Linked DNA regions of Caenorhabditis elegans. The protein of the gene in region 4 interacts with the protein of the main gene of each other region in a pairwise test. Each region holds a gene or a part of one and is shown on either strand. Other genes may lie near its edges.

Evidence for each region.
Region 1: the proteins of toca-1 (region 4) and rsy-1 interact in a two-hybrid assay, tested with the Caenorhabditis elegans proteins (one large-scale study listed by BioGRID).
Region 2: the proteins of toca-1 (region 4) and fbxa-156 interact in a two-hybrid assay, tested with the Caenorhabditis elegans proteins (one large-scale study listed by BioGRID).
Region 3: the proteins of toca-1 (region 4) and pqn-87 interact in a two-hybrid assay, tested with the Caenorhabditis elegans proteins (one large-scale study listed by BioGRID).

What each region holds. Positions count from the first base shown.
Region 1 is NC_003279.8:11,214,648-11,224,458, forward strand, and holds rsy-1 (Arginine/serine-rich protein PNISR), read right to left. Parts: upstream 7,349-9,811; 5' UTR 7,329-7,348; coding exon 7,283-7,328; intron 7,142-7,282; coding exon 6,114-7,141; intron 4,605-6,113; coding exon 4,424-4,604; intron 3,495-4,423; coding exon 3,246-3,494; intron 1,992-3,245; coding exon 1,726-1,991; 3' UTR 1,530-1,725; downstream 1-1,529. Other genes in the region: ins-36 (INSulin related), read right to left, coding at 270-444; Y53H1A.2 (C2H2-type domain-containing protein), read left to right, coding at 7,752-7,760, 7,862-7,942, 7,994-8,326, 9,043-9,192, 9,255-9,326.
Region 2 is NC_003283.11:17,893,736-17,899,906, forward strand, and holds fbxa-156 (F-box domain-containing protein), read right to left. Parts: upstream 3,052-6,171; 5' UTR 3,027-3,051; coding exon 3,019-3,026; intron 2,907-3,018; coding exon 2,700-2,906; intron 2,655-2,699; coding exon 2,568-2,654; intron 2,519-2,567; coding exon 1,882-2,518; intron 1,838-1,881; coding exon 1,637-1,837; 3' UTR 1,495-1,636; downstream 1-1,494. Other genes in the region: C06H5.11 (Holin), read right to left, coding at 148-261, 307-324; C06H5.12 (FIP (Fungus-Induced Protein) Related), read left to right, coding at 1,050-1,250; C06H5.13 (FIP (Fungus-Induced Protein) Related), read right to left, coding at 3,811-4,011; fbxa-157 (F-box domain-containing protein), read left to right, coding at 6,093-6,100.
Region 3 is NC_003280.10:12,217,764-12,224,714, forward strand, and holds the start of pqn-87 (MATH domain-containing protein), read right to left. Parts: upstream 3,871-6,951; coding exon 3,830-3,870; intron 2,880-3,829; coding exon 2,767-2,879; intron 2,627-2,766; coding exon 2,532-2,626; intron 2,281-2,531; coding exon 2,095-2,280; intron 1,903-2,094; coding exon 1,628-1,902; intron 1,086-1,627; coding exon 947-1,085; intron 1-946.
Region 4 is NC_003284.9:1,516,921-1,523,639, reverse strand, and holds the start of toca-1 (Transducer of Cdc42-dependent actin assembly protein 1 homolog), read left to right. Parts: upstream 1-2,152; 5' UTR 2,153-2,245; coding exon 2,246-2,278; intron 2,279-6,719. UniProt on the Caenorhabditis elegans protein: Plays a role in protein trafficking, actin organization and embryonic morphogenesis. Potentially acts as a cdc-42 effector. May play a role in hypodermal P-cell nuclear positioning.

The DNA.
Region 1 (9,811 bases), on a different chromosome or scaffold from region 4:
ACACAATCTTGCCGAAAGTAGACAGACTCCTGCCAACTCTAAGTAGTAACTAAGTCGCCAACGCTCAGCAGTATTTCCCTGAGTATAGTCCGCGGGCCTACTATAGAAAAATATACAATCCCAGAAAAACTATAGTATTTAAAAAAAAGCTAAGCATTTTAGTAAAACATCGAAATATGAAAAACGTGTGGGAAAAGTTAGTGAAATAGTATGTATTTTCCTTTTTTTTTGTTGGAAAATTTCAGAAAATAGCAGTCAGGCTCACTTACCATCGAATTTTTCGCATTTTTCCTTACAAATTGTCCTTGAGTACATGATAAGATATCTCTTACAATCCCTAATAACCAATTTCCCTTCTGGGTGTCTTTTCCGGATTGCTCGGCTCAAAATTGATCCGAAAACGCAAAAGAGCAGGAAAATTATGGAACATTTGCCTATGTTCATTCTGGAAAAAAAACAACAATTTTTCTATGAATTGAATTGTGAAAAATACAATATTATTTTTTTCAAAAAAAAAAAAGTTTAAGAACAAAAAAATTTGAAAACTAATTTCAGGCCGTTCCAGGCCGAATTTCAGGCCGTTTAAAAAATTAAAAAAGCAAAACATTGAAACAATTTCGAACAGTCACAAATTGATAAAACATGCCAATACTCTGCACAAATTCATATCAGTTAGAAGAACTATAACACATAGTTTTTATGGCTAAATGAAATAAATAGATCGAAGGTTAATAATTCTATTACAGAAAAAATACGATCGCACAAAAATAAACAACGACGCAACGACACTCCGCTGTTTTTAAGCCCCGCCCACGATTTCATTTGCACTGCGACCGCCACATTTCAGTGCAAATGAAATCGTGGGCGGGGCTTAAAAACAGCGGAGTGTCGTTGCGTCGTTGTTTATTTTTGTGCGATCGTATTTTTTCTATAATATTCTGAGTGTAAGGAATTCATGACCGACCTTTGCTGCATGGCCTAGAAAATTCGGGAAAACTCGGCCATTGATTTTTGTCTCGTGAGAGGCGTTCAAAACTGATAATTCTAGTCAATCTGTTGAGGAAAATTCAAACTTCAATTTTTCAATGTGTTTTAAATTTATTAGCGAGAAATTTAAATTTTACAAAATCTTGGCGCTAATTTTAAATAGAATTTTTCAAAAATTTCAGCGCGGAATTCAAATTTTGAGGGAAATTAAACATTTTGGCGGAATAATTAAAATGTTAAATTCCATGATTTTTGCGAAAAATTTGAATTTTCGAAAAAAAAAATTGGTGCGAAATTTAAATTATGTGTATTTTTTTCAAAAATTTAGGCGCGAATTCAAATTTTAGTAATTTTTCCAAAAATTTTAAATATTTCAGCGGGAAATTCGAATTTTCAAAACAAAAAATTTGGCGCGAACTTCAAATTATTTTTAATATTTTAGCGGGAAATTCAAATTTTAGTTATTTTTCCAAAAATTCAGGCGCGAAATTAGAATTTATTGTGCGATTCTGAAATATGCTGAAACCAAAAACGAAAAAACAAAACTTCAAAATACATTAAGCAAAAAAAAATCAATGGGAAAATGTCATCATAGGTAATACAAAAAAATAATTTTTTGGGAGTTTTCCAGAAAAACGGGCGGCTTTGAACAATGAGAATTTGGAGCAAGAAATTGGTGGAAAAAATCGGCGGTAAAAATCGGAAAAATCAATAATTTATCGTTAAAATCAATAAAAATCAACGTCGACTATGCCGATCCCTGTCCCCCCGATCCCTCCGACGTTCCGAACTTCTCGACCGTTTTCGACGGCGATCCCGTTCCGAAGATCGGCTTCTCGATCGGTGATTATGTCGTGATGAAGATTGCTCTTTTTCACGACTTTTCGATCGTTTTTTGCTCTTTTTACTCGATTTTCTCTCCTTCTCATCGTCTCTCATCTCTCGTTCTCTCTTCTTTTCCGACGACGATTTTTCCGATTTTTTATTATCGCCGTTTTTTGAATCTGAAAATTTGAATATTATTTCCGGAATTTTGTGTGTAGATTGTGTAGTTCTATGTAGTCTAGAGAATGACTACAAACTACAAAATCACATCAGCCTCAATCAAGGTTCAAACTACAAACTACAGACTTTTTGAAAGGAAATTTCTAAATATTTAGCCGAAGACTACAAACTACAAAATCAGCTTAGCCTAACCCAAAATAGTAAAATCCCAATATTTTGACTACAAACTACACGTTTGCGAGTGAAAATTTCAAAAATTCACACTTTTCATTTGTATTCTTTAAAAAATGAGTAAAATATGAAGAAATCTAGGTTGAGGCTGGGAAATATGTGTAGTTTGTAGCCTCAACCAATTCAAAAATTGGTTGAGGCTCACAGACTACAAACTACAAAATTAGAAAAAAAAAATTTTTTGGATTTTTATTTGGATTTTCAGAGATTTTATTGAAAAAAGAAAAGAATTTTTGAAATTTTTTAGATAAAAAGTGAGATTTTCCCGAAAAATCTCTGCTAAAGTGAAGAAAACTTGTAGTTTGTAGTCTCCGGCCTCAACTATTTCAAAAATTGGTTGAGGCTCACAGACTACAAACTACAAAATGAGCAAAGCCTCACCAAATGTTCAGGAATGTTCAGATTTTTTTTTGGATTTAAAAAATAGATTTTTCGAGTTCTAGAAGCGGTTTTAACTGAATTTTCAAAATTTTTCAGATTTTCCGAAAATTTCTGAATTTTTAATCCAAAAAAAGTGGAATTCCAGTGGGTTTTTTGGAATAAAATATTATTTTTTTTGGCTGAAAATTGGCGCTCCGAGACTACAAACTACAAAACCATTCTGTCCCAAAAATCCAAAATCCCAAATGTCCCAAAATCCCAAAAAATTTCAGTTCAAATTTGGCGGAAAAAAGTGAAAATTGTGAAGAAAACTTGTAGTTTGTAGTCTCCAGCGCGCCTCAATTATTTCAAAAATTGGTTGAGGCTGAGACTACAAACTACAAAATAACATAGCCTCACACAAATATTGAAAAAACATTTTTTTTTTGCAGATTTTCCTGAAATTTTTGAATTTTTAATTCAAAAAAGTGGATTTCCAGTAGGTTTTTGAAGTTTTTTGGCTGAAAATTCGCGCTTTAATAGACTACAAACTACAGAAAAACACATTTTTGACGCTAAAATCGGGGAAAAAATTAGCAAAAATGGTATTTTTTTCAACAAAAAGTGAATATATTTTTATATTTTTCATTAGTTTACCTTACCTGGAACGTGTAAATCATCAACACCTTCACCATCATCATTAACTGATGGTTTGACATCATCTGTCTTAACACTAAACTTTCGAGGGATACCCACGGGAGCCTTGAACTCTCCACCACCAGCTTCTGGTGTTCCTGCTTCTGCTGCCCCTGATGCTCCATTTAGCTCCGCCGAGCCACTGCTCTCCTGCCGTGGCTCCATGTCGTCGCCAACTCCATCGTCACTGCTGTTGTCACTATCCTCACCGTCTCCTGGAAAATTTGAAAAATTTGAATTTTTTGAAATAAAATTTCAAAAAATATGACATTTTAGCTCTAAAAAACGTTTTTTTTTTTAACTGAAAACTCAACTTTTTTTTTGCAAAAAAAGGCTTTTTTTATTTGAATTTTAGTTTTACAATTTTCGAGAAATTGAAAATTCACATTTTATGGAATTTTTAATCGAAAAAATTGAAATTTTTAAACTAAAAATTCTTTTTTGGTACATTGTTCGAAAATCGTTTTTTATAACGAATATTTAATTAAAAAAGCTTCTGAAAACCGATTTTTTCCAAAAAAAAAAAATGTTTTTTTGAAAACTTTTTCTGAAAAATTTGAATTTTTAGGAAAAAGAAGAGCTTTTCAGGAACTTTTTGAACACAATTTTTATATAAAATTAAAATTTTCTGGAAATCTAAATTTTCGCTATTTTTTTTTGAAAAATTCGATTTAAAAATCAAAAATTTTACTTTTTTTTTCGGAAAATCTCAAATTTTTCAACCAGAAAATTCGATTTGTTTCAAAATTGTAACTGTTTTAAATTTAAAAAAAATATGGAAAATTCGAAAATTTTAGAAAAAAGTTTTTAAAAAATGTGAAACTTTTGAAGACAATGTTGAAAATTTTCGTTTTTCGAATTTTTTAAATCAATTTTTAAAAAACTTTTTGAAATTTTAGCTCAAAAAACTCGATAAAATCGAATTTTTTTTGTTTAAAAAAATTTCGTCGAAAAATTGGAACAATTTATGAATTTTTTATGAAAAATTATACGATTTTCATAGCTTTTTGGAAGAAAATTTCAAAAATGTTAAAGTTTTCGGTTTTTTTTAAATTAAAAACTTGGAAAAAACTTTTAAAACCGAATTTTCTGGTCAAAAAAATTGTTTTTTCCGAATTTCGAATTTTCGCGAGCTTCTCCATACCAAAAGCCGCGAGAGCCGCCAACGCTGAGCTGTTGCCGATGATTTTCGGCGCAGTTGCCAATTTTTTCCGTTCAAATTGAAGTTTTTCGTGCTCACGGAGCTCTTCTTGTATTATACGCATGATGACGTCATTCGAAGACTCGAGGAGCACGTTCATCATTAGAGTTTTCACACAGCGTATCTGGAAAAAAAATTTCGAAAATTTTTTTTTTGAAATTTTTAAGAGGTTTTTCTCCACTTAATGGACCTTTTTTAATTTTTAATTCAATTTTTTTTTTTCAAAAGTTCTGTAGTTTGTAGTCTAACAGCCTCCAAAAACGCGAGCCTCAACCAATAGATTTTTTGAAATTTTATCAAAAATTCGGTTTTTATTGCATTTTTAAAGGTTTTGACTGAAAAATTCTGAAAATCTTGGGAAGATTTTAAGGTTTGTTTTCGAAATTTTTGTAGTTTGTAGTCTAGCGGGCATCAAAATTATAAAATTTTTGAAACAAAAAAATTTTTTTTACCCGAATTTCAAAACTTTTTAGAAAATTTTTTAAAAAATCTTGAAAAAATTGAATTTTTGAAAATTTAAATTTCTGTGAGGCTGTCTTAAAAATTGTAGTTTGTAGTCTGAGCCTCGACCAATTTTTGAATTGGTTGAGACTACAAACTACAAATTGTCATATAGCCTCAACAATGTTTTTTTTGTAAATTTTATCAAAAACTGGGTTTTTTATTGGAATTTTTATGGTTTACGCTGAAAAATTGAGAAAACCTAGGGAAAATTGTTTTTTTTTTTTAAATTCATGTAGTTTGTAGTCTAGCTGGCATCAAAAACGCCAATGTCTACTAAAATGTCTAAAATTTTAAACTTTTTTGAATTAAAAATGAAAAAAAAAACGATTTTTTTGCCGAAATTCAAAAGTTGTATTGAAAAATTTATTTTTTTTTCAAAATTTAATTTTGGTGAGGCTACCCGAAAATTGTAGTTTGTAGTGTGTGAGTCTCAACCAAAATATTGGTTGAGGCTGAGAGGCTACAAACTACAAATTGTCATAGCCTCAACCAATAGATTTTTTGAAATTTTATCAAAAACTCGGTGTTTTATAGGAATTATTTTTAGGATTTAGGAGTTACACTGGAAAATTCAGAAAATCTTGGGAAAATACAATTTAAAAAAAAAAATTTCTGTAGTTTGTAGTCTAGCCGGCTAAAATTTTCAAATTTTCAACATTTTTTTGAAATAAAAGTAAAAAAAGAAACGATTTTTCCTCGAAATACAAAAATTTCATTGTAAAATTGATTTTTTTGTTCAAAATATAATTTTGGTGAGGCTACCCGAAAATTGTAGTTTGTAGTGTCTGAGCATGAGCCTGAACCAACAAAAATTGATCAAATTTCGTCGGTTTTTTCTCGATTTTTTTAGCAATTTTCTCTAAAAATTCAGAAAATCTTCGACAAATTTTTGGTTTTTTCTCAAAATTTTTTGTAGTTTGTAGTGTGTGAGCCTCAACCAAAAATATTGGTTGAGGCTGAGAGACTATAAACTACAAAGCTGGATTTTTTTTTTCAAAAAATTGGTTTTTTTTCTCAAATTTTGAAAAATTTCCTCTAAAAATTTAGAATATCTTCGTTTTTTCTCAAATTTTTTGTAGTTTTTAGGTTTTTTTTTGCGGAAATTTCAGGAATTTAGAATTTCCCGTACAAATTGCTCTCGTCTCTCCTCCAAATCGTCTTCCGAATCATTATCATCTTCCTGATATTCAGATTTTCCATTACCAACAGGAAATTTCTCATTTTCCGGGCTCTCTTCATCCGACGAAGAGTCAAATTTGCTCTTTCCAGCTTCGGCTCTTCGCCGGGCTTTTTCTTCTTCCGCTTTCTTCAGCTTTTCCTCTTTTTCCCACTGCTTTTGCTTCTCCCGTTCGGCCTTTTCAAGGCCTTCCAGGATCCAGGCCGGCAGTTTTTTCCGGGCCTCTTTGTTCATTGCATACGGGTTTGTGGGCCCTGAAGCCATTAGTGGAGCCGGTGGAGGCACACCTTTCGGGCCAGCTTGGGCCGGGGGTTCCGGGGAATTTTGGTAGTTTTCGGGCTGGAAATCGGGCTGGAAATCGGGCTGCTGAAAATCGTGCTGGACCGAGGGGCTCTCCTGGAAAAAGTGCAGCTGCGGTGGTGGACGTTGAGGTGCTCCGAAGAAGCTTGGAGCACTTGAAGCCGCCGCAAAAAGTGGCTTAGGCTTTTGGGCCGACGGGAATAGGCTTTTCGGTGGTGGTGCCGCTGGAGCCTGAGGTCTTGGAGGCCCTGGGTAGTGCTCTGGAGGTCTATGTGGGCCTGGGGGGCCTGGAAAGTGCGGCCTTGGTGGCCCTGGCGGAAAATGTTGTGGTGGGCCTTGGAAATGATGTCCAGGCGGTCCAAAGTGTCCGTGGTGAGCTGGTGGAGGAGCTCCACGCCACGTGTCTGCTCCCTGTGGCGGTGGTGGTGGATATCCACGAGGCGGGCCTTGATTATGATATACGGGGGGCCCGGACGGCCCAGAAGGCCCAGGCGGCCCTCTCCACTGCTCGTCCCGATTCGCGGACCAATCGCCCCAATCCTGATGAGCCGGAGGGCCCGGATGACGTGGCTGATGCCACGGGAGCTGATGATTTTGAGCGAAATCGTGTGAATTTCCGGCTCGACGATCGTCTGTGTCGCGCATCGCCATCCATTGTTGGGCCAGCTGGGCCCAGTCGACTGGAAAATAGACGAAAATTAATTTTTAAATAAATTTAAAAAAATTTCGCGAAAATCTCGAAAAAAATCGATTTTTTCGTGTTTTTTTGCCAAATTTTTCGATTTTAAATTCAATTTTTCAATAAAATCACAACGCCATACCACTTTCCGCCGGCTGTGCCTGATGATAGTTGGTCCAATCTTCCATTTCCCTCGTTTTGTGATTTTCTGCAGGAAATATCGATCTTATTGGTTTTTTTTGGGAGGAAAAAGGTGGAAACTAGCATTTTTTAACAAAAATTCGAAATTTTCAGCTAGATTTTCTATTTAAAAGCTTTAAAAATGCGCTGAAAATATTCTAAAATAGAATTAAATCGAAAAAATGTCGATGGCCGTTCCTTTACACGAAACCTAGTCCACGGCCACGCGGCCACCGAATTTTATTGACGGCGGCTTTCTGTGTGATTTTCAGATACTTGAACGTGTTTTTTTGTTTGTAATGTGAAGAAAATGAATCGATATATTTAATTTTTGGAGAAAAGTGATTTTAAATTCCAGAATTCCTGCCGAAATCCGACGTTTTCCAATTTCGTGTAGAAACCCATTCGAGGGAACACAGCATGCGCCTTTAATGGCTACGGTAGGTTAATTTAATTTAATTTAATTTAATTTTTAGCAGCAATTTTCAACGATAATAGTTGTTTTTTGAATAATTTAAATTTAAATTTGCTTTTTTTTCAGATGACAGAAAGAAAACAGGATTTTTCCTGTCCAAACTACATGCTTTTCGGCGATGACTTCAATTTACAAAGTGGAATAGAGGTTTTTCCCCGAAAATTTCTGCAAAATCACTTTTTTTTTCCAATTTTTCAGGATATTTCCTGTTCCTCAAACTACACATCAGACGAAGATGGACCAAAAGTGCTCACTACAATGAGAAATATGTTTGCGGAGCAGAAAACCGACGAATATGAGCTGGTCTACGACAATAATTCGCAAAATGTGCCTCAAAATTGTTCACCGAAAAATCAATATTCGCCCCCGCAATCTGTGCAACAAGCTCATTATTCGAATTTATCACATTTTCATCCTAGAAATCCAGAATTTTCACAAGAAATCGTGGAAAATCGAGTAATTTCTCCAAAATCTGAGCATCCGGAAGAAATAGAGGATCACGAAGATGATGAGGATGGCCAAAGTGAAATGGTACTGATAAAAAACCCCGATTCTAACAATTTTTGCCCTGAAAACATGAAAAATCATCAAATTTCAGCCAATAGGACGAAAATTCGTTTGGTTGAGGCTCACAGACTACAAACTACAAACCGCAATCATTTTAAATAGGATTTTATTCAATTTTCGCTTAAAAATTAATTTATACTATTAAAAAACCTAATTTTCAGTTGAAAATCGTATTAAAAAATTCGTTGAGGCTAAAAAAATTGTAGTTTGTAGTCTGTTAGCCTCACCCAAAACATTTTCGACCAAAAAAAAAACGGTTTTCCCCAATTTTTTGTATAAAAATGAGTAAAAACGGCTATTTCATGATATTTATTAACTTTTTACGATAATAACCTTCAATTTTTACGAAAAAAATTGGTTGAGGCTAGAAAAATTGTAGTTTGTAGTCTGTTAGCCTCACCCAAAACATTTTCGACCAAAAAACTGATTTTTCTGCAATTTTTTTATATGAAAATGACTAAAAACTGCAATGTATTAAGCTTATAACTCACTTTTTCAATCCTAAAACACCAAAAACTAACGCAAAACTGGTTGAGGCTAAGAAAATTGTAGTTTGTAGTCCCTGAGCCTCACCCAAAACTATTTTCGGCCGAAAAAACCGATTTTCTCCCGATTTTTCTTATAAAAATGACTAAAAACTACAATTTCATGGATTTCGCCCAACAATTTCGAATTTTCAGAAGCACAATTGCCCGGAATGCCCGAAAAAGTACACATCGGAACGACGTCTCAAGCATCATATCGTTGTACACCGCAATCCGGACGCCTATAAATGTCAAAAATGTGGATATTGCTATCAGAGCCCAGATAGTCTCCGGAGACACTGGAAGGTAGCAAAAAAATCGAATTTTCACTGAAAATTTGACAAAAAATTAATTTTTTTTTGTTGCAGAAAACTCCGAATTGTGACGAGTTTCCGCCGAAGATTAATGTGAAAACAGAGATTTTGGACCCGGATTCATGAATTTTTAAAATTTTTTTTGATTGTTATATTGTAAATTACATTTTTTTACTGTGTACTATTTCTGACACTAACTCGATTTCCCAGTGGCCTTATTCATACGCTCATTTCATTGATTTTCTCGGTGCATATTTAAATTTTTATTCAGTTTTTGATTGACAAAATTCATTTTAATTGCAATTTATATTGATTTTTCAACGATTTTCTCAGTTTTTTCCTCAAAAATTGCCCATTTTTATGCGAATACCTTCATTTTTTTTTCACCCAAAATGTGTAGTTTGTAGTGTGTGAGCCGCAACCAAAATATTGGTTGAGGCTGAGAGGCTATAAACTACAAACTGACACCGCCTCAACCAAGTTTTTTTGTTGAATTTTGAAGCTAAAATCTTTTTTCAGAGTTTTTTGTGAAAATTTTAACAAAAAAAAAAACAAAAATTCATTTGAAAATTAAAAAATGTGAAAAATTTCACGAAAAACCAAAAAAAATC
Region 2 (6,171 bases), on a different chromosome or scaffold from region 4:
TTTTCAGATATATGATACCTTTTGTATTATCTGTTTTCAGAATACAACAATACTTCAAAAACATCAAAATAACAATTTTCGAATTTATCCACCAGTTAGTTACAAAAATATGTTTGTAATACATGTTTTTATTGGATATCTCTTTTGTCAGGTTCCAGGAACTGATCCAACTGAGGAAGTCAATGATGTCACAAGTTGAAGAACAGTTGCCAAAAGCCCAGTCACCACTTGCAACACAGCATCCACTTGCACTTGCTCAGTCTGGAACCGTCACTGTATTTTTGTAACCACTAAGAATACAGAAACTTTCAACGGCTCCAACATCTGGAACTTCTGGAACTGGAACCTCCAATGAGCATCCCAAGTTAGCAACACAAGCGATGAGGGCAAGAAGGTAGAAGATGAAATTCGTGTTGAATGAATTGTGACTATTCCATTCTTACAGGGCTCTTTTTATATGGAACACTGACAAAAGAGGTATCCAATAAAAACATGTTATTCTGCATTTTCAGATATTCCTTTTGTATTCACTGTTTTCAAAATACAACAATACTTTAAAAACATCAGATATTAAATGTATTGATCAATTGTAAATGGCAAAAACACTAGCATTAACACTCATAGTATTGAACTTGTAGTCATCATAAAGTAGTAATCGTAGCAATACATACAGACAAAATATAAAGCTACATAGTTTGTCACAAAATCATTCGACTAATTGCTTTCAGGCTGTCTTGATTGATATATCCTTCAGAGATTCATGTCAGATGAATTGTCTGTAATCATATAGCCCTTTCATTTTAGTCAACTCAGAATGCTTATTTCAACTGGTTACGCTAAAGCATCAATGTTTAGAGGTATTGTTACAAGTATTTTCCAAATCACAATTTATGGATGAATTTAATAATATCTGATATTTTGGATGTTTTTAAAGTATTGTTGTATTTTGAAAACAGTGAATACAAAAGAAATATCTGAAAATGCAGAATAACATGTTTTTATTGGATACCTCTTTTGTCAGTGTTCCATATAAAAAGAGCCCTGTAAGAATGGACACATCATTCAACACGAATTTCATCTTCTACCTTCTTGTACTTATCGCCTGTGCTGCAAACTTTGGCTTCTGCCAGAACATCCAGGGTGCGGCCTCTAATATTATTGGACACGCAGCAGGAGCTCATGGAGGCGCCACTGGAGCTGCTCGAGGTGCTGTGAAAAGTGTTGGAAATCGTTGGGATCCAGATGATTAGTAGCTTTTTGATGCACTCTGTCGTATTTTTTGGGAATAAATATATCGAACATTGGGAATTCATCTGTTTTATTTTTTAAAGATTATTATACTAAAGAGTGACACGCTCTCTATAAATCCGAATATAATGCCAGTTTCATAGTTTTCCCCTACTACTGATGTGCCTCTGGAGAATCTTCACGTATCAGCTTGACACATTTGCTCCGTCAGTTCTTCACCCAATTGCAACATTTGGCAAGCATTCAATTCAATTGAAAACGTACATAAACTGTACATATACTGACAAAACGACGCGCGCTTCATATATAGTAAATAATTTAAGATATGTGAAACAGTTTCATAGAGGATTAACACATTATTATACTAATATTCACAAGTTCGATGTTGCTAGTCGATTCTCTTCTTGATACTGAAACCATCCGGTTGATAAGCAATGTCGAATGTTACATTTCTAGATTTATAAACAATTGATCCAGACAAACTATTTAGAGCGGAGTGTGAATCAAAAACTCTAAGGAGATGTGTTGCATCAAATTGCACTCTTTCGCAAGTAAAATATTCAAACTTGGTTGATTCCAGAACAACCTCCTGAAAGTTTATGCTATAAAATTCACATATCATAGTAAACTCACATCTCGAAGCCTGGTGATATCATTTTCTGAGAAAGCTTCCTCAGAAAAGTCAAAGTTCAGTGATTGGAAGTGAGCAAGATGCTTGACGATAAGTGAATAATGTGGAACAGGAGACAATGTCAGAGTCTTTGCTTGTTTCCATTGTTCAAGGCGCACCAGACGTTTTATGGAATTTTCATCGGATTCGCTACTTTTAATTGTCAAGTCCTCTAAAATTTCAGTATTGAAGTGTTCTAGAATTTCAGCAATTTGAACAGAAGGAAGCCAATTGATCAATACTGATTTTGTCGTCAAGACTCCAACTGATTGAAGTACATTTTTAAGAGCATCAAATAAAATGAGCCCTTCGTCCTTAACTCCATTAACGTAGAAATAATCCAGATTTAATCCTCTGCACTTCAAAAGTCTTGATGCATCATTCATAGCAACCTCCAATGGCCGTTTGTTCTTAACAAGAAGCTCCCGTTCTTCATAAGTCACAAGGCAGTCATCATCGTCCAATTCATAGGTCACAAGGTTATCGTTCATATACAAAGAAACGTTATTTTCTTCTTGAAAAATATGAAATTTCTTCAAGTTAGAACGTTGATAATCGATTATAGATTTAAAACTACAACAAACCGCACCTGCAGTAAACCTGAAAACAATTTGTATTTACAAAACAAAACTATGCAATCAATTTATACCGATCAATTGGGTTCAGTTTATCCAGAATCATTGTTTGAAGGTAGTTCGTAACAGATTTCCATTCTTTCCTCTCTGATGAATAAAATCTGTAATAGTTACTCTCATACTTCATTGATTGAAAAAACACGAACCTATCATATGAGTCCAAGTTCAGACTTCCATTTGAAAGTCCCATATACCAATATTCAAAATGGAGGTATTCCATGAACTGCTCACCAAATGCCTTGCACATTGCTTCGTATGCATCGAGAACTGGAATTTCTTGAAGAAGTTGGAATAGGATACAGATTCGCAGTGCTCGTGAGTCCGTGACGATGCATTTAACTTTACGATCGATTCTGAAATTGAAGTTATACTTTTCATTGGAGAATACAAAGTTCGTCTTTTTTCCATCTCATTGTCATAATTTGTTTGAAATTGCAGTTCGATAAAATGAAAAAAAAAACTTACTGGTCCATTGATGCTGAACTGCTCGATTTTTCCCTGCAAACTTTTTAATTACTTCTTTTTGTTAACAAGGAAATCAAGGTAAAGAAAATACGACACGACCAGGAACATAGTGACAAATAACAGGCATAGTAACAAATAAATCAATGCGTACTTTCATGGGCGATGAAGAGTTTTTCCACATAAAATTTGACTTTCTCAAATTTTCATACAAGGTATTTTTCTCGAAATGCCTATAATTTCCAAAAGTTTCATTATAACTTAAAATTTGCTACTAAACAACAAAATTAATCATTAAAATCTGTCTCTTTTTCGACAGAAATCAATAAACTAGCTTGAAATTGACAACAGTGAGAAGAGAAAATTTCAAAAATTGAAGCTGTTATCAGTATTCCCCATAAAAATGTGTGAAAGGAAGTAAATAGAGCATTTTATGGTTTCGTCGATGAGATGGGCTCATGTGACTCATGGTTTACCACATTGTTTCTCGTGAAAAGTAGAGTAAAAAATGTCTTCATTTTAAATCGTTAAATTTTACTTATTTTCGAATCGTCTGATCCTTCTCAACAAATAATTTTGATAGAAAACAGCAAAATAATCCACCAAGAACCTGGAAATTTTGAAAATTTTACACACAGAAACGCGAAGTTTAGCAAGCGCGCTCTAATAGTTATTCGGATTTGAGGAGAGCGTGTCACTATGTAACATAATAATTTATATAAAAGAAAGTAGACGAATTCCCAACGTTCGATATATTTATTCCCAAAAAATACGACAGAGTGCATCAAAAAGCTACTAATCATCTGGATCCCAACGATTTCCAACACTTTTCACAGCACCTCGAGCAGCGCCAGTGGCGCCTCCATGAGCTCCTGTTGCGTGTCCGATAATATTAGAGGCCGCATTCTGAGTGTTCTGGCAGAACCCGAAGTTTGCAACACAGGCGATAAGTACAAGAAGGTAGAAGATGAAATTCGTGTTGAATGATGTGTCCATTCTTACAGGGCTCTTTTTATATGGAACACTGACAAAAGAGGTATCCAATAAAAACATGTTATTCTGCATTTTCAGATATATGATACCTTTTGTATTATCTGTTTTCAGAATACAACAATACTTCAAAAACATCAAAATAACAATTTTCGAATTTATCCACCAGTTAGTTACAAAAATATGTTTGTAATACATGTTTTTATTGGATATCTCTTTTGTCAGGTTCCAGGAACTGATCCAACTGAGGAAGTCAATGATGTCACAAGTTGAAGAACAGTTGCCAAAAGCCCAGTCACCACTTGCAACACAGCATCCACTTGCACTTGCTCAGTCTGGAACCGTCACTGTATTTTTGTAACCACTAAGAATACAGAAACTTTCAACGGCTCCAACATCTGGAACTTCTGGAACTGGAACCTCCAATGAGCATCCCAAGTTAGCAACACAAGCGATGAGGGCAAGAAGGTAGAAGATGAAATTCGTGTTGAATGAATTGTGACTATTCCATTCTTACAGGGCTCTTTTTATATGGAACACTGACAAAAGAGGTATCCAATAAAGACATTTTATTCTGCATTTTCAGATATACCTTTTGTATTATCTGTTTTCAGAATACATCAATACTTCATAAATATCAGATATTAAATTTATCCAACAATTGAATTGAAAAATACTTGTAACGATACCTCTGAACATTGATGTTTTACCTTTAATAGCCTACTTCACATGGTCATGTCAGATAAGTTACATATTAGCTTGCATATCTTCAATTTCACTCACTCAGAATGTTTTCAACAATTCATTCATGCTTTTTATTGTATATGTATATTACAATTGTTGGATAAATTTAATATCTGATATTTGTGAAGTATTGTTGTATACTGAAAACAACTATTACAAAAGGAATGTCTGAAAATCCAGAATAAAATGTTTTTATTGGATACCTCTTTTGTCAGTGTTCCATATAAAAAGAGCCCTGTAAGAATGGACACATCATTCAACGCGAATTTCATCTTCTACCTTCTTGTACTTATCGCCTGTGTTGCTAACTTTGGGTTTTGCCAGAACACTGGGAGAGTTGTGAGTATCGACGATCAAACTCGTTACTTGACGGAATTGCTTAACGAAGTTAAGGATAGATTCGAAAGCACATCGGACCAGGTGTTTTCATCATCTGATAAAAAGCAGGATTTGGTGGATTCATTGCTGGATCAGATCGACAAACTATTCCTGGAGGAGGATTCACATCCTAAGTAATTCAATAAATCATGTTGTTATTTTGGGAATAAATATATCGAACATTGTGAATTTGCCTTCTTTCTTTTAAAAAAGATTATTATATTACAGAGTGACACGCTCTCCTCTAATCCAAATATTTATTAGAGCGCGCTTGCTAAACTTCGCGTTTCTGTACATCTTGCGCTGTGGGTGAAAGTTTCAATTTTACAGGTTTTAATGAGATTATTTCGTTATTTTCTATTTTCTAGTGAACGAGTGGCCAAAAAATAAAGAAATTGTTATTTTTTCACTCTATTTTTTCACTAGAAATAGTAGTAAACCATGAGTCACATGAGCCCATCTCAAACCATAAAATGCTCTATTCACTTCCTTTCACACATTTTTATGAGGAATACTGATAACAATCGGAGGAAAACTACGCTCGTAAACCCGTGGCCTCTTTTCAACCAACTGTAACCATTTTCTAACTGCCATTAGATTTCGTCCACTTTCCAAATAACTTTGCTCACTTCTCCACCAACTTTCACCAACTTTTTCCAATTGCTCAGAGCATTAAATCATTGCCCAATTTTCCTCAATATTTTTTCCTAAAAAATTACCTCAATTTTTGAAATTTTCTCTTCTCTTCTCACTGTTGTCAATTTTTAGCTAGTTTATTGATTCTCTCGATTTCGAAAAAAAAAAACCTTTTATGAAAACTTGAGAAAGTCTAATTTTTCGTGAAAAAACTCTTCACCGCCCATGAAATCACGAATTTATTTTTTGTTGTCAAAACGTTCCTGGTAATTTTTAACATCGGCCATGATGAAGAAATTTTCAGGGAAAATTCGAGCGGTTCAGTCTCAATGGATCAGTAAGTTTTTCATTTTATCCAACTTTAATTTCAATCAAAATCTGAGATGGAAAAAAGACGAACTTTGTATT
Region 3 (6,951 bases), on a different chromosome or scaffold from region 4:
TGAAATTTCAGAGAATAACGCCTTTTTTTGGTAATTTTGATTGAAAAATTAACATTTAGTGAAATTTAGTCAAAAGCTTGAGTATTATTACTCAATTTTTGATACTTCAGCGGCTTAAAATGAAATAAATTTGGCGGAATTTCAAAAATTCAATTTTAATTAAATATATCATCATTTTTCAGATGTTTTAACGGTGGTGTAGTCGAATTTTTTAAAAATTGCTTTATTAGACTCAAAATCGTCTGAAAACACCGAATTTCATAATGAAACTTCTTGAAAACTTTTCAAAAAAAAGTCATGACGGCTCAAAAAATGGCCTAAAATTAGTTAAAATTTGACATTTGACTTGTCAAGCGGCTGGAAACTAATTTTTTTTTAAATCACCGTCAAATTTTGAGTATACAATGTAATTAGCTTGCGTTTTCAACTCTGATTTAGGTATTTTAAAGTCGATGGACGGCGAGATTTTTAATTTTTTAAAACCAAATCTCGCCGTCCATCGACTTTAAAATACCTAAATCAGAGTTGAAAACGCAAGATAATTACATTGTATACTCAAAATTTGACGGTGATTTCAAAAAAAAAATTGTTTCCAGCCGCTTGACAAGTCAAATTTCAAATTTTAACTAATTTTAGGCAATTTTGTGAGCCGTCATAACTTTTTTTTTGAGAAGTTTTCAAGAAGTTTCATTATGAAATTCGGTGTTTTCAGACAATTTTGAATCAAACAAATCAATAAAAAATTCGACTACACCACCTTTAAAATGAGATAAATTCGGCGGAATTTCAAAAAAAAAAAAACCATTTTTATAAAATATATCATCGGTTTTGTGGTATTTTTAATTGAAAAAAATCTGAAATTTCATATTTTTCGCCTGAAACTTATGAAATTCAATTTTTAGTCAAATTTTCACATTAAATGGATCAATTTCGCCTCAAAACTCACCGCCCAAGTCATAAAACACGAGTAACCCCAGTCGTTTTCCTTCGATGTATACGTATGTGTCGTTCGTCGGGCAAAGTGGGGCACGTTTGGCTTGTACGAGATCATTCGCATGTCGGCTATCGCGTGGACGCTCCATTGGCTGGAAAAAGTGTGAATTTTCGGGGTTTTTGTTGGGAAAAAATGGCAAAAAATGCTAATTGGGTGGGAAATTTCACAGAAAATGTGGATTTTTGGCATTATTTCGACCCTGAAAATGGCGAAAAACAGCAAATTTCTGTATTAAAAATGGTAATTTGGAAGCGGAAAATGTCATTTTTCAAGAAATTTCACCGAAAATTAAATTTTTTTTGTGTTTTTTGCCAAGAAAAATGGCGAAAACAGCAAATTTTTGTATTAAAAATGGTAATTTGAAGCATTAAATGTGAATTTTTGTAATTTTTGGCAAAATTTCAGTCGTGAAAATGGTAAACTCAGCTTAAAATTGGGAATTCGAAGTTGGAAACTTCGACTTTCGATTTTTCTATTAATTTGAGCATTTTAAATCGAAACATGACAATTTTCAGGCCAAAAATGCGATTTTCGCCCAGTTTTGCAGTATTTTTCCACTTTTTTCGACACAGATTCAGTTAAAATACAATTTTTCGCGTTTTTTTCTCGAATTTCCCGGGCTCTCCAACATACTCAGAATAGGCTCTTTCGGGTGCGCATTGCAGGAAGAATCCCATGCATTTTTGTTGTTTCTTCTGAACCATATGCTGTTTCGGCATCACCATTATCTTCCACGAGACACCTTCGATCGATTTTGGCGGCGAGCACATTGTCTCCTCCAACTGCGAGAATCGATTGATTACGAGCCGAAGTTTGCAGTTCTCGTCGTTCCATGATGGTCCATCGACGGCTTTTCCGTTTGTCGCACCGGCCGCGGCGTTTGATGAGGAGGCGTTTGCGTTCGAATTCTGGAAGGGGCGAAAATTGAATTTTTTTTCAATAAAAATGGATTTTCATCTAATTTTCTGGGATTTTTTGTCTTTTTAAAGTCTTTTTTTTTTAAATTTTTGAAATTTAATCGCAAAACCGTTTCAAAATTTTATTTTATAAGAAATTTTCCTGGTTTTCAGCAAAAAAAAAAAAACAAAAAACTAGCAAACCTGTTTCTTTCCTTCACCAACGACGCCAGTCGTCGACGCGGCACGAGCCTTCTGTGTCGTCTGGCCTGCCTGCTGTGGTTGCGTCGTGTTCGTCGAACTATTCAGACTCGGCGGCTTCTTCTCACCAAAATAGGCTTCAATTTCGTTGGGCTTCACGCCTGCCGGTCCGGTTAGCTTCTTATCGGCCTGGAAAAATTCTCGTTTTTTTTCAAAATTTTAACTTCAGAATTCCTTTTTCTCGAAAAAACCGCCGGGAAATGCCTAAAAAACATGAAAAAATCGAAAAATTGATAATTGTCAAATTTTCCATAGTTTTAATCGTTGATTTCAGTGAATTTTGCCCAAAAATCAACAATTTTGATGTGTTTTTATCTGATTTTTACGCAATTTTCGCGTGGTTTACACAGAAAATTGAACAAATTTCGCTCAAAACTCACTGCTGGGGCTCCCGATGGTGCTGGCGACGAGGAAGCGGCTTGATTGGCTGGCGTGGATGCTCCGGAAGCAGATGCAGATGACGATGTTGTGTCGACTGAAATTTTGATTTTTTTTAATGCTTCAAAACGCGAAAAATGTCGCATTTTCTTCAATTTTCATAAATTTTTAAAGCAAAAATCGTCCAAAAATTCGGGTTTTTCTCGAATTTTACCAATTTTTCAGCAATTATATTACCTGCGCCTGTGCCTACATGTGACGTGGACGAGGACATCAGCTGGCTCATTTGTTGAAACACACTGGGACTTCCTTGCTCCGTCTGACATCCAACATCACAGCCTGTCTTCGTTCTAAAATATCGAGTTTGAGGATTTTTGTAGCAGAAACATGCGATTTTCTCCAAAAAATCATATAAAATAACCGAAATTTATGATTTTCTAGCGGTTTTGAACATTATTTCGGTAATTTTAACGTTTTTCACCAATAAAAATCGATTTTTCAACGCTAGAAATTTTTGAATTTCAGATGAAAAATCAATTTTTACTAATTTTCCTGTGAAATATGCAACTTTTTCAGAATAAAAAATCAAAAATGAAGGAAAACATCAATTTTTGATTGTTTTTCGTTAAAAAATCGATTTTATTTTCATCTTTTTGTAAAAAAAATCACTGAATAAAACATTAAACATCAATTTTTCAACAAAAACTACAGAAAATTGGAATTTTTTCACATTTCCCACTGTTTTCAAGCATTTTTCAGTATTCAGACTTCAAAATGCGTGGAAAAAACAATTTTTCCAAGCAATTTGGAGTTTCGATATTGAAAAAATTGCTCAAAACGGTGGGAAATGTGAAAAATAATCCAATTTTCTGTAGTTTTGTGGAAAAATTGTGTTTTAATTCATTTTTCATTCAGTGATATTTTATTCAGTGATATTTTTACAAAAAGATGAAAAATATCGATTTTTAACGACAAATTATCAAAAATAATAGATTTTTCCACGCATTTTGCAGTCTGAGAGGAAAATGTGAAAAATAGTTAAATTTTCTGTAATTTTTGTGGAAAAATTGGTTTTCAATGGTTTTTTCTAGTTTTCTGGACTTTTTTTTCACTTTCTCAGTGCAAAAGACCAATGTTCCGCAGAAACCGGTTCGGTTATACATCCTTATACATAGTTGTGTGACTGGTAATTCATCATATCACACACACACCCACACACAACAACGACGACGGCCCGATTCTATTCATAATGATTCATCAGTCCGTGTTTCTCTGCGTCTCTTCTCTCTCTCTCTCTTACCTGGCTTTTTTCTTCTGAATAACTTCACTTTGTCCTTCCATTTTTTGTGTGGTTTTTTTGGATTGTATAGGGGGGTTCCGTGGGGGTTTAGATGTTCGCGCTTTCAAGCAACTAACGAACTGCAATTGAATACGGTGCTGCTGCTGCTGCTCGTCGGTTGATTTGAGTCGAAAATCGATCGCAACGGTGTTTTTTTACTGGAAAATTTGATGGTTTTTGAAGGATTTTTTGGGGGTTGGAGAGGAGAAAAGCTGAGAATTTTGAATAAAATCAATGGGGAAAAATCCGAGATTTTTAGACCCTTTTGGGTCCCGCAGCGACTGTTTACGATTAAAAAAAACCAATTTTCTCGGAAAATCGCAATTAACGAGTACAAAATTCAACAAACTATGTATTTTCAGATATCAGGTTAATTTTCGTGGCGAGACCCGACAGGTGTTCAATTTTCACATAAAGCTCAAACCTTTAGCGTTCTGCTGTAAACTGCCACATTTTAATTGAATTTCACTGCGAAAAAGCGAAATTCGTGCAGATTTCGCAATTTTATCGCTTAAAACCACGAAAAGTGTGGAATTCATAGAAAAAATAAATTTTTTTTTCAAATTTTTAGTGGACTGAACAGTGAAAAATATTCGAATTTGTGCGAAAACTTTGAATTTACACAATTTCACTTTTTAAAAATTAAAGAAAATCATGCTTTTTTTTTCTGAAAATGAAAAAAAATTACCGACATTTCTGAAATTTTAGTGAAAATTCTTGGGATTCTGTGACTTTTTGCAGATAATTTACTCCATCGCAGCTCAAATTGACTTAAAAAAACTGACTATCTACCACTAAATGAGAAGATTTTCCCGTTAAAAAGTTCGCCACGAGTCCAAAAGTAACGAGCAAACAAGAGAAGCCGAGCCGACCGCAACGAGTCGAAAAAAAATCAATCAATTCGTAAATCGATGGGGAACGGAATGGGGGGAGAAAACGAAGACAATCTGCGGACTACTAGAGACCCGGAGAAGGAGGAGGTATACGACGACCCAAAAACTATTGTTGAAGAGAGAGAGAGCGAGCGGCGAAGAGAGAGATCACGACAATCCAAGAGAGCACGAGACAGCGTGTCGGATAAACCGAACGCGAGTAGAGAGACTGAGGGAAAACGACGCACAAGTCTTTGCTGCTGATGCTATTGGCGGCGGCGGTCGGGGGGCAGTCGGGCGACACCGACCAACCGACGGTCATATAGACACACATTGACGCGGGGAAGAGGAGAAGCGAGGGATGGAGAGACACGATGAAGAAGAAGAAGACACGTCGGAAATCGATCAAGTAGCCGCCAGCAGCAGTAGCTGCAGAAGTAGTAGTAGTAGTTGCATCATCGAGGGTCCTGTGAATCGTACGATCATGTGGAGAAACTTAATTTTTCGACATTTTTGAAAAAAAAACTTAAGATTTTTTAACAAAAAAAAAATTTTTTTTTTTTGAGGGAAAATCTTAAGATTTGAAGTCGAAAAACGAATAATTTCGATTTTTCGAATTATAAAAAATCGAAAATTTTCGATAAAAAACTAAAAATGCTCAGAAAATTAACCAAAATATGATTTTTTTTATATAGTTTTTATTTTCCAAAAATCGAAAAACCGACACCATTTCTCGGCATCTAACAAAATTCCCAAAAAAAATTGGAAAAAGGCGACCGTGCCTCCCTACATCCTGTATTTTAAGGATTTAGGAACAACAAAACCGAAATATGCACCTGGTATCAGAGTGTCTCATTTCGGTTTGATCTACGTAGATCTACAAAAAATGCGGGAGAAAAGCCGCAGAGTTCGCAATTTTTTGTAGATCAAACCGTGATGGGACAACCTGCCACCACTTGAATATGATTTAAAGCGAGAACAACGGAAAAATGGACACTGCCGTAGTATTAAAATTGAATCTTCCAAGGAATCTTGCATTTTCCTAATGAGGAAATTCAAATCATGTACTCTTTTCCAGAATTTCCTGCCGTTCTCAGAAAAATATAATCAATGATTCGACTATTTCTGGCCGTGACATAGGAAAACCTCCGGGCGTAATTTTCATATAAATATGCCGTATTGTGACCGTAGAAAATCCCCGAGAATTGGAAAAACTGGGATATTTTGTTGAAAAAATGCGACACTTTTGCACAAAAATTCCAAAAAATGAGAATTTCTCATTTCCCCCCTCAAGTTCTCGCTCATTTGAACGAAGTAAGGCGAAAAACCTGTGTAGGTGACAGCGGCGGGCGGATCAAAAACCCCAATTTCGCGAATTGGATTGATTCTCGAATGGTTGTTATAAAAGGAGTCGTCGTCGTCGTGGAAAGAATGGATCGGCTGACTGTCTGAGACTGGCCACAAGATGGGGAAAAAAGTAGTGGCAAGGACGAAGGAACGGATAGAGATGGCGGAAAACGATTACGGTATCTTCTTCTCATTTTTCTTCAGCGACAAACACACCAAGGAATTTCGTTTTGGTACTGGAAATAGTACTCAAAAAACCAAAAAATCGAGTTCAACGAGAACCTATAATCCTTCAGTGCGTTGGTCTTTGTTGACCGTTTACACCCATATAGATTCCGAGAACATACGTCATACAATACGTTGCATAAGGATTTTCCAGTGAAATCCTAAGAAATTGGCTCTGGGAGTGGAAAAACTGTGAAGAAATAGGCATTTAGAATATAGATTCGCAAGAAATTCGATAAAAATCTCCATAGAAACGTCCAGAAGACCGATTTCAAAGAAATCATGGTTTTCTTCAAGCATCAGTATTTAAAAATATTGATGGGGAGAATTGAACTTTGAACAATTATTTTAGCAGAAAAACGGCGGGCTCTGCAATTGCGACAAATTTTAGGTGACATGATGGAAAAGCTTCACATTTCGTGCATTATAAGAAAATTGATCGGTTTCGGAACAACTCCGGCAACTTTATTGAGTAGTTTTGGAGCCAATTCGTGTCTAATAGCACATTGGGTAGAAATTTCTCCAAGAAAAACGAACAAACCGTAAGAAATTTACCAGATGTTCAGATATATTCTACAGACCTGCTACTAGAAAAAACAGCGAAACAGTGATGGAATCCAGCAAATATCAGAGGAAACA
Region 4 (6,719 bases):
CAAGCTCCATGTTTCCATTTCCAATTACCTCATTTATCAACATTTCCCTGATTCATTTCAGTTAAGCCTTTCACATCACTGCCCTAATCTCTTGACACCTTTCTTTGTTTCTCTGCAATGGGAAATTGAATTTGAAATGCGGTTTGGTCAATTTGCAATGCACAATTTGCCGGAACACCTGCTCCTGAGAGCCCAAATGTCATTGACATGCGGGAAGGATTAGGAGATCTTTTTCGAAATTTTTGAATTTCGATTTGCACTGACCAACATTTTGTTTGCATTGACCAAAGCTGCAACTTTCCAACTTTCTAGTTAGACTAGAACAACTCCGAATTTTTCGAATTTTACCCCCTTGTCACCGATTCTCAGTCCCAATGTCACCTTGTCTTAGGTGTACTACCTTTCATTACTAACTTCCGAATACATTTTCTTCGCCTCCTTTTCCCCATTCTTCTTTTTTTTCTACTCAACCTTCCGAGACACGACTACCTATGTGTTGTCGTCGATTTGGCGGGTCACTTGAACTTTTGCGTTTGGCCATGGAAAGATTGGCGAGGCAGGAGGGGGGACAAAAGGAGGCCTGTTTTGCATATTACCTTGAGAAACGTCGGGTACGACAAGCATAGCATTTTTTGGGTAGTTTTTTCTGAGAGTGATTGTAGGGCTTTTTTGGAAGTCCTTTGAAACCAGTATATATATATATATTTTAGTCAGCTTTAGGTTTTTTTTTTTTTTTTTCGGGCCAAGGCAGATGGTGAAGTTAAGGCTAAAATATATGTCAGGGCCAAAAAGTGGAGACCCAGAAAGTTGAGCCTTCAAAAACTAAGCCATTTAGGCTAACTTTTACTTTCTTTATTTAGGCATTTAGGCGGTTGAGCCCTTGAAAGCCGCATCTCCATTTTTTCCGCTCCTTGAGGTTAGGCTTATTTTAAAATCCTTGAGGTCAGGCTTATCATCCTTCAAAGTTTGAGACCAAGAAGGTTAAGCCCCGTAGTTGAAGGATAATTCTGAGCCCACGAACGCCAAGCCCCAAAGAAGCCCAAAGTAATGGCTGGGCACCTGAAGTCTAAGCCTTTAGGCTGCGCTCTTAGCTTAATGCCCTTCTTCAAAAACTGAGTCCCTCGGTACAGACTAAGCTTTTAGGTTACCCTTTAGCTTTTAGGCAAGCTCGGGCCTAATTTCAGGCTTAGCTTCAGACTCAAAATTACGAGATTTCCCTCAACGTAATTCGAAAAAAATTGATTAGACTAGGTATCTCGCGCCGTGCGTATTGTTGTAAACTCTTCATTTTTCGCTCATCAATATCTCCGAAAACCCCGGGACCCCGAGGTCTATCCTAGATAGCAAGATACGCAGACGCACACATGTGTATACATATGCTATTGGGCGAGAAATAGCGTCTCTTCTTTTTCTTCTTCTCTTGGGAGCTACTTTTCGAGGTCCGAGCTGCTGCAGCTCGAGCTGGGTGCTCGAGCTGACCGCGGACCCCACTTCTCGTGACCGCCTATCTTGTTTTTTTCTGTGTTGCTGTTCTCGGATAAATTTGGGATTGGAATGTTTCTTTGGGGTCTAGCCTGTTTCAACGGAAATAAGTGAAAAATTGTTTGCTGATTTTCTTAATTTTTTCACTATTTGCTGATGCTATTTTTGTAAATTCGGTAGCTGAAAATTTCTGGTACCTGGTAACCGTGAACTATACCATATGGAAAAGTTTGAAAATTGGAGGTTTTAGGCCATTTTCGGCTATTAAACTTTTTCCGATTTTTCGAATAATCTAGCACGTTTTAGCGAAATGTTTTTTTTTTGATTAAGCTTGATTTTTTCTATTAATTTCTCAATTTTGCAATAATTTTCTCCACCTTTTTTCAACCTCCCATAGCACTCCAAATACTCTGCTCTTCCACAAAAAATTTACCCCCCCCTCCTGAGCCCCCACAATTATACCTATGCTTCCTTCCGCCTCCCGGTGCCATGAGCACCAACCACAAATTGCTCTCCATTTTTGCTCCACGACACGCCCAACCGTCAACAGCTTAGATTACTGTTTTTGTTCCTATTTACGAACTAAAGTTTTCAATTTTTTTCTCCTTCTCGTTTGTTCGGATCTTTTTTGTGCTGCTCATTGCTGTTAACGTTTTGAGTTTTTTTTCAGACTTCAACTCGAAAAAGTTCCAATTAGTGTTCATAAAAAGAAGGAATCGAGATTGGATTGGATGGTAACAACCTTTTGAAGAAGCGGCGAACAATGAACGACAGTTGCAGTTGGGACCAGCTATGGGTAAGTTTTTATTGAATCCTTGGTAAAAACTAAAATTTAAAATAAGAAAACAGGCTACTAAAATGAAAAAACCGCGGGTCTAAAAAAATGGCCAAAATCACCAAATGTTGAGCTGAATTTTTTACGATTCTAAACCGTGAATCCTCCTTTTTTCCTAGTTCAACATTTCAAAAAATCTACTGATTAAAAGTATGTACATATGTGCCTAAAATTGTAATGTTATGCACTTCACACTGTGAAAAGGTTAGAAGGTTTCCACCAAAATGAGAAAAATGGCACGAAACTTCAGATTTTCAAAATTGGGCGCTGCTTCAAATTGCTGAACTTTTAAAAAATATGTCAAAGTTCCAAGATACCAGGATTATGCCTAATTTGGAAAAAATTGGAAATATAAAATTTTTCCAAATTCTGTTACAGCTCTAAAGCACCCACGCCACGAATTTCCAGAACCTAGAATTTTTCGAGACCGCCGCAGTTTCAAAACTCCAAAATTTGACGAAATTCCGGGCCCAACCACTTTAAGGATTATTTTCTGGGAATATGCAAAAATAGGGATTTCAATTGATATCATGGCAAGACGTCCGCAGGGTTTTGCGCCGCACTATATTTTATTTGCAATTGCCTGGGTGGGGCGCGAAACCCGTTAGATGTCGGACCATAATATCATTTGTATCGATATTGGGGTACTGATACTGGCATGATCACAGATGGGCGGTCCCGATACTTTTTGAAATTCGGTAAAATTCCGAAATTTCTAAAGTTCGGATGAATTTGAAATTTGGCGTTTGCCAACTTCTAGTGCAATTTTATAGTTTCGATGTGGAAAATCCTTGGATTTTTCTCAAATTTTTAATAAAATCTAATGATCCCCCCCCTCCCCCCCACCAAACATTTCTACTCGTTCCTACATACATTTTCGCATATCACATATACCTTCTCGTCTCCCGCATACATAATTTAGTAGTTGTAAGCAAGATCGGGGGGTGGCGGGCGATCACAAAGTAACGGCGGAAGCGGCTCACCCACCCTCCGAACACACTTGAATTAGTCATTTGTTGCTAATGTAGAGGTGGATACTAATAAGGAGTGGCGGGAGGTGTATAGAGAGAGTGAAAGAGAGAGAGAGAGAGAGAGAGAGAGACGCAGAATTAAAAAACAGGGTTACCTAGTGGGTTTGCTGGGCGCACGTTAGTATGTTTTGGTAAATGCGCTCTAATTTTAAAATTCAAAAATGGAGTGGAAATTTCTATAATATATTTTAAAAACATTTTTTTTTATTAAATTGGTCCGTTCACACTGATTATGCCTACTTTTTTAAGACGTTGTATTTTTAAAAATTGATTTCAAAAAAATTAATTTTCTACTCTCTCTCAAAAACTTCTCTTAAAAACTACAAAATCCGATTTTTTTTTCGCCAAAGTTTCTTATCAGTTTACAGAAAAATTGTGAACATTTCAGAAATGCCAGTATGACACATCTTTTTGAACATATCAGTTTGTGCTTGAATTTGATTCAGAAAAACAGCAAAATTTTTTTTCTTTCAAATTTTCCCAATACTTCAGCCAGTTTTTTGTCGTTTATAACAGTAATCTACCGCAGAGATACAAGCTTATAGAACTTAAAGCCGAGAGAGTGTGGGACGAGGGGAGAGTGCAGACTGTCTTCAATTTCTAGTGCTCAAAATTTGAGAGCATGTAACTTGAGAAATGAATTCTGAAAATTGGATTTTCTATCGATTTACTCTTTAAATTTTCAATTAGGGCTCCCATGTGGGTGCCGCAAACGCCGCCCTCACGCCGGGATCCGAAATCTTAATAGCAATGCGCGAAACCCAAAAAATGTCGGATCGCGGCGCCTACATGGGAGCCCTGGTTTTAATATAATAATGGTTCCGAACAGTTTTATTAATAAAATTGCACAAACTTTCTGATCGTCGGTTCTCCGCTCTTTCCTTATCGTTCACTTCTCGCCAATTTAATAGGCAAAAGCGGTAGTTGGGGAAGGGCGGAAAGCGCAAATAAACACAGCTTCACTCTCTTTTTCTCCCTTTTTCGGCACCAAAATCGTACTTTCTGTGATTGTATTTGTGTTTAGCAGGGAATTATCAATAAGATTAGAAGGTTTTTTAAAAAGAAAATTTTTTGTGGGGTCCCTGTAACCTTGGATGTAATTTTATAACATGGTGCATCGACTGAAAACTACACTAGCAATTTTTAAGTTTACGGTTGAAACTTGTCACTTTTACATACATATTAAGGGTTATCAGTATATTATTCATTCAAAATTTGTGCTAGTAAAGTGAAATTTTTTCTCTGTTTGAAAAAATATGATAAAATGCCAAAAAGAACGTCATTTCCTATGACAAATTTTGTCCGATGCACCATGTTCAAAAAATTTCTTTGGCTCTCACATATTTTTCAGGTTTTACCGCCAAACTTATCGGACTTTTCCAGTCGATGCACCATGTTCGGATTTATTTTTCTAGACAAAATTATTGCTGCTCCTTCAAAAAATATCGATTTTTTTACCTGATGCACCATGTTCAAGTTTTCTGAGAAAAATTTCTGTAATAGTCGAAAAGTTACCGAGAACATTTCAAAACGAAAATGTCATTCTGCTTCCGTTCCCCATTCCCCCCTACTTCTTCAGCCTTACTGTCAATCCATTTCAATTCTACAACCATTTTTCTTCATCTCCCCTCATTTTCCCTTCCTCCTCCCCCTTCTAACTTCTTCTTCTTCTTCTAGTCGCGTCGTCAATCGGTGTTGGGGTCGACAATTCATTGTATATGTAGATCACATTGCATTCGGATTGCGCCCTTCCGTCCTGGCGATAGTTTCTAGGACGCCGCGCCTTGGACACTCACCGCACCTTTTTTCTGCAAAGTTTGAGTTTTTGCTTGGGGCACTTTAAGTCTGATTTACATGGAAATTAGACTATATGAGCTCTTAATTTAAGTTGCTCAAACTTTTTGAAAGTGTGCTGGTTTTGTATGTACATCTGGTTTCTTAGAGAATCGGAAACAATATACATATTTGCTTTTGAATTAATTATGGAGACAGTTTTTCTAGTTAATTTTCTTTGAAATTTTGAAAGTCGTCAATCTAGGTACCTAATGAGCTCAACCTCGTAGAATGGACAAACATTTGAAAATTCTTGCTCCAATTCTAGCTTTTTCCAAGTACCTTGATTTACATAGTTAGGCTCCACAAATTGACGCAATTCCTCAATTTTCAGTTTTAAACTAAAAGTTTCCCAACTTTGGATTTAGAACTCTGTACAAAAAAGTGAATTTCTTTAAAAATTTAAAGGCAGCTTATGTATAGTTAAAAATTCAGAACCAAAAAAAGTACATTTTATTTTCCTGGTATTTTTGAACAGTTTGTCTTGCCTCGCAAAAGCTTGATTGTAAAACTAAACAAAACTCAAAACCAATTCAAAATTCTCTAGAAGCGTCAGTGCCTACTTACAGCTGCTCCACGGTGCCCTGTGCTCCCAGCTGTTAAAAGTAACAGGGTACCGTCAAATGGAACGTATGCGCCTCCACCCTCTCTCGCTCCGATTCCGCGCCGCTCTCCTCCCGAACAACCACTCATTTATTATGAGTTTTTAATCCATTCCACGTCCTCTTTCCTCTCCGCACCGTTCTGATCTCTGCCTCTCTCCACTGGAGAAATATTATTGTGCGACAGCGGTGCGGTGCGGCGCGGCACAACTCTCCCGCACTTTTTGTTCCTTTCTCCATCTATATCTCTCTTTCGGCTGACCTGGGGTTCCTCGGGAAAACGACGACACATCATGCTTGACAATTCAATCCGATTGGGATATTGGATATTGGATATAGGGCTTGGAAAGTCATAGGTCAAATTTCTCTTTTTACATATGGATTGTGGCTTGAGAACCTCTCTGGCAGTCTAGCTCTAGTCTAGCCGTCTAGTCTAACTAGAAATCTAGAAAATTTCAAATGTAAACCTCTAATTGTTCCTCTTTAGTTTTGGACCTTCCACTTTGTAGGCTCATGTTTCAGTCCTTTTTTTTGTGAAATCTAACCTTTTTTTCAACTACAAAAAATTCATTTTTGATCTACTAGTTCTACTAGAATCTATACATTTTTTTATACCTAATATGTATACCGTCCTTCCATCTCATTCTACCCGTCCGCTTTCTTTGATAACCTCATCAACCATCATCGTCTGACAGACATGTTCCGTTCCGGACGTGACACAGTCCGTCTGTCGCGTGCATCGATGGTCGACTTGTTTCACTCGGCGTTTGCCACGAATAACAATAACGATCATCATCATCACAACAACCACCACAACCACAACCACGGGTATCAGGAAGATACGGCTAGTCGAATTTATGGGACAAAGGTATGCATTTAAGTATGCGTAAATCAGACCAGAGGTTTTCAAGTCTAGACATATTCTAGCTACTTTCA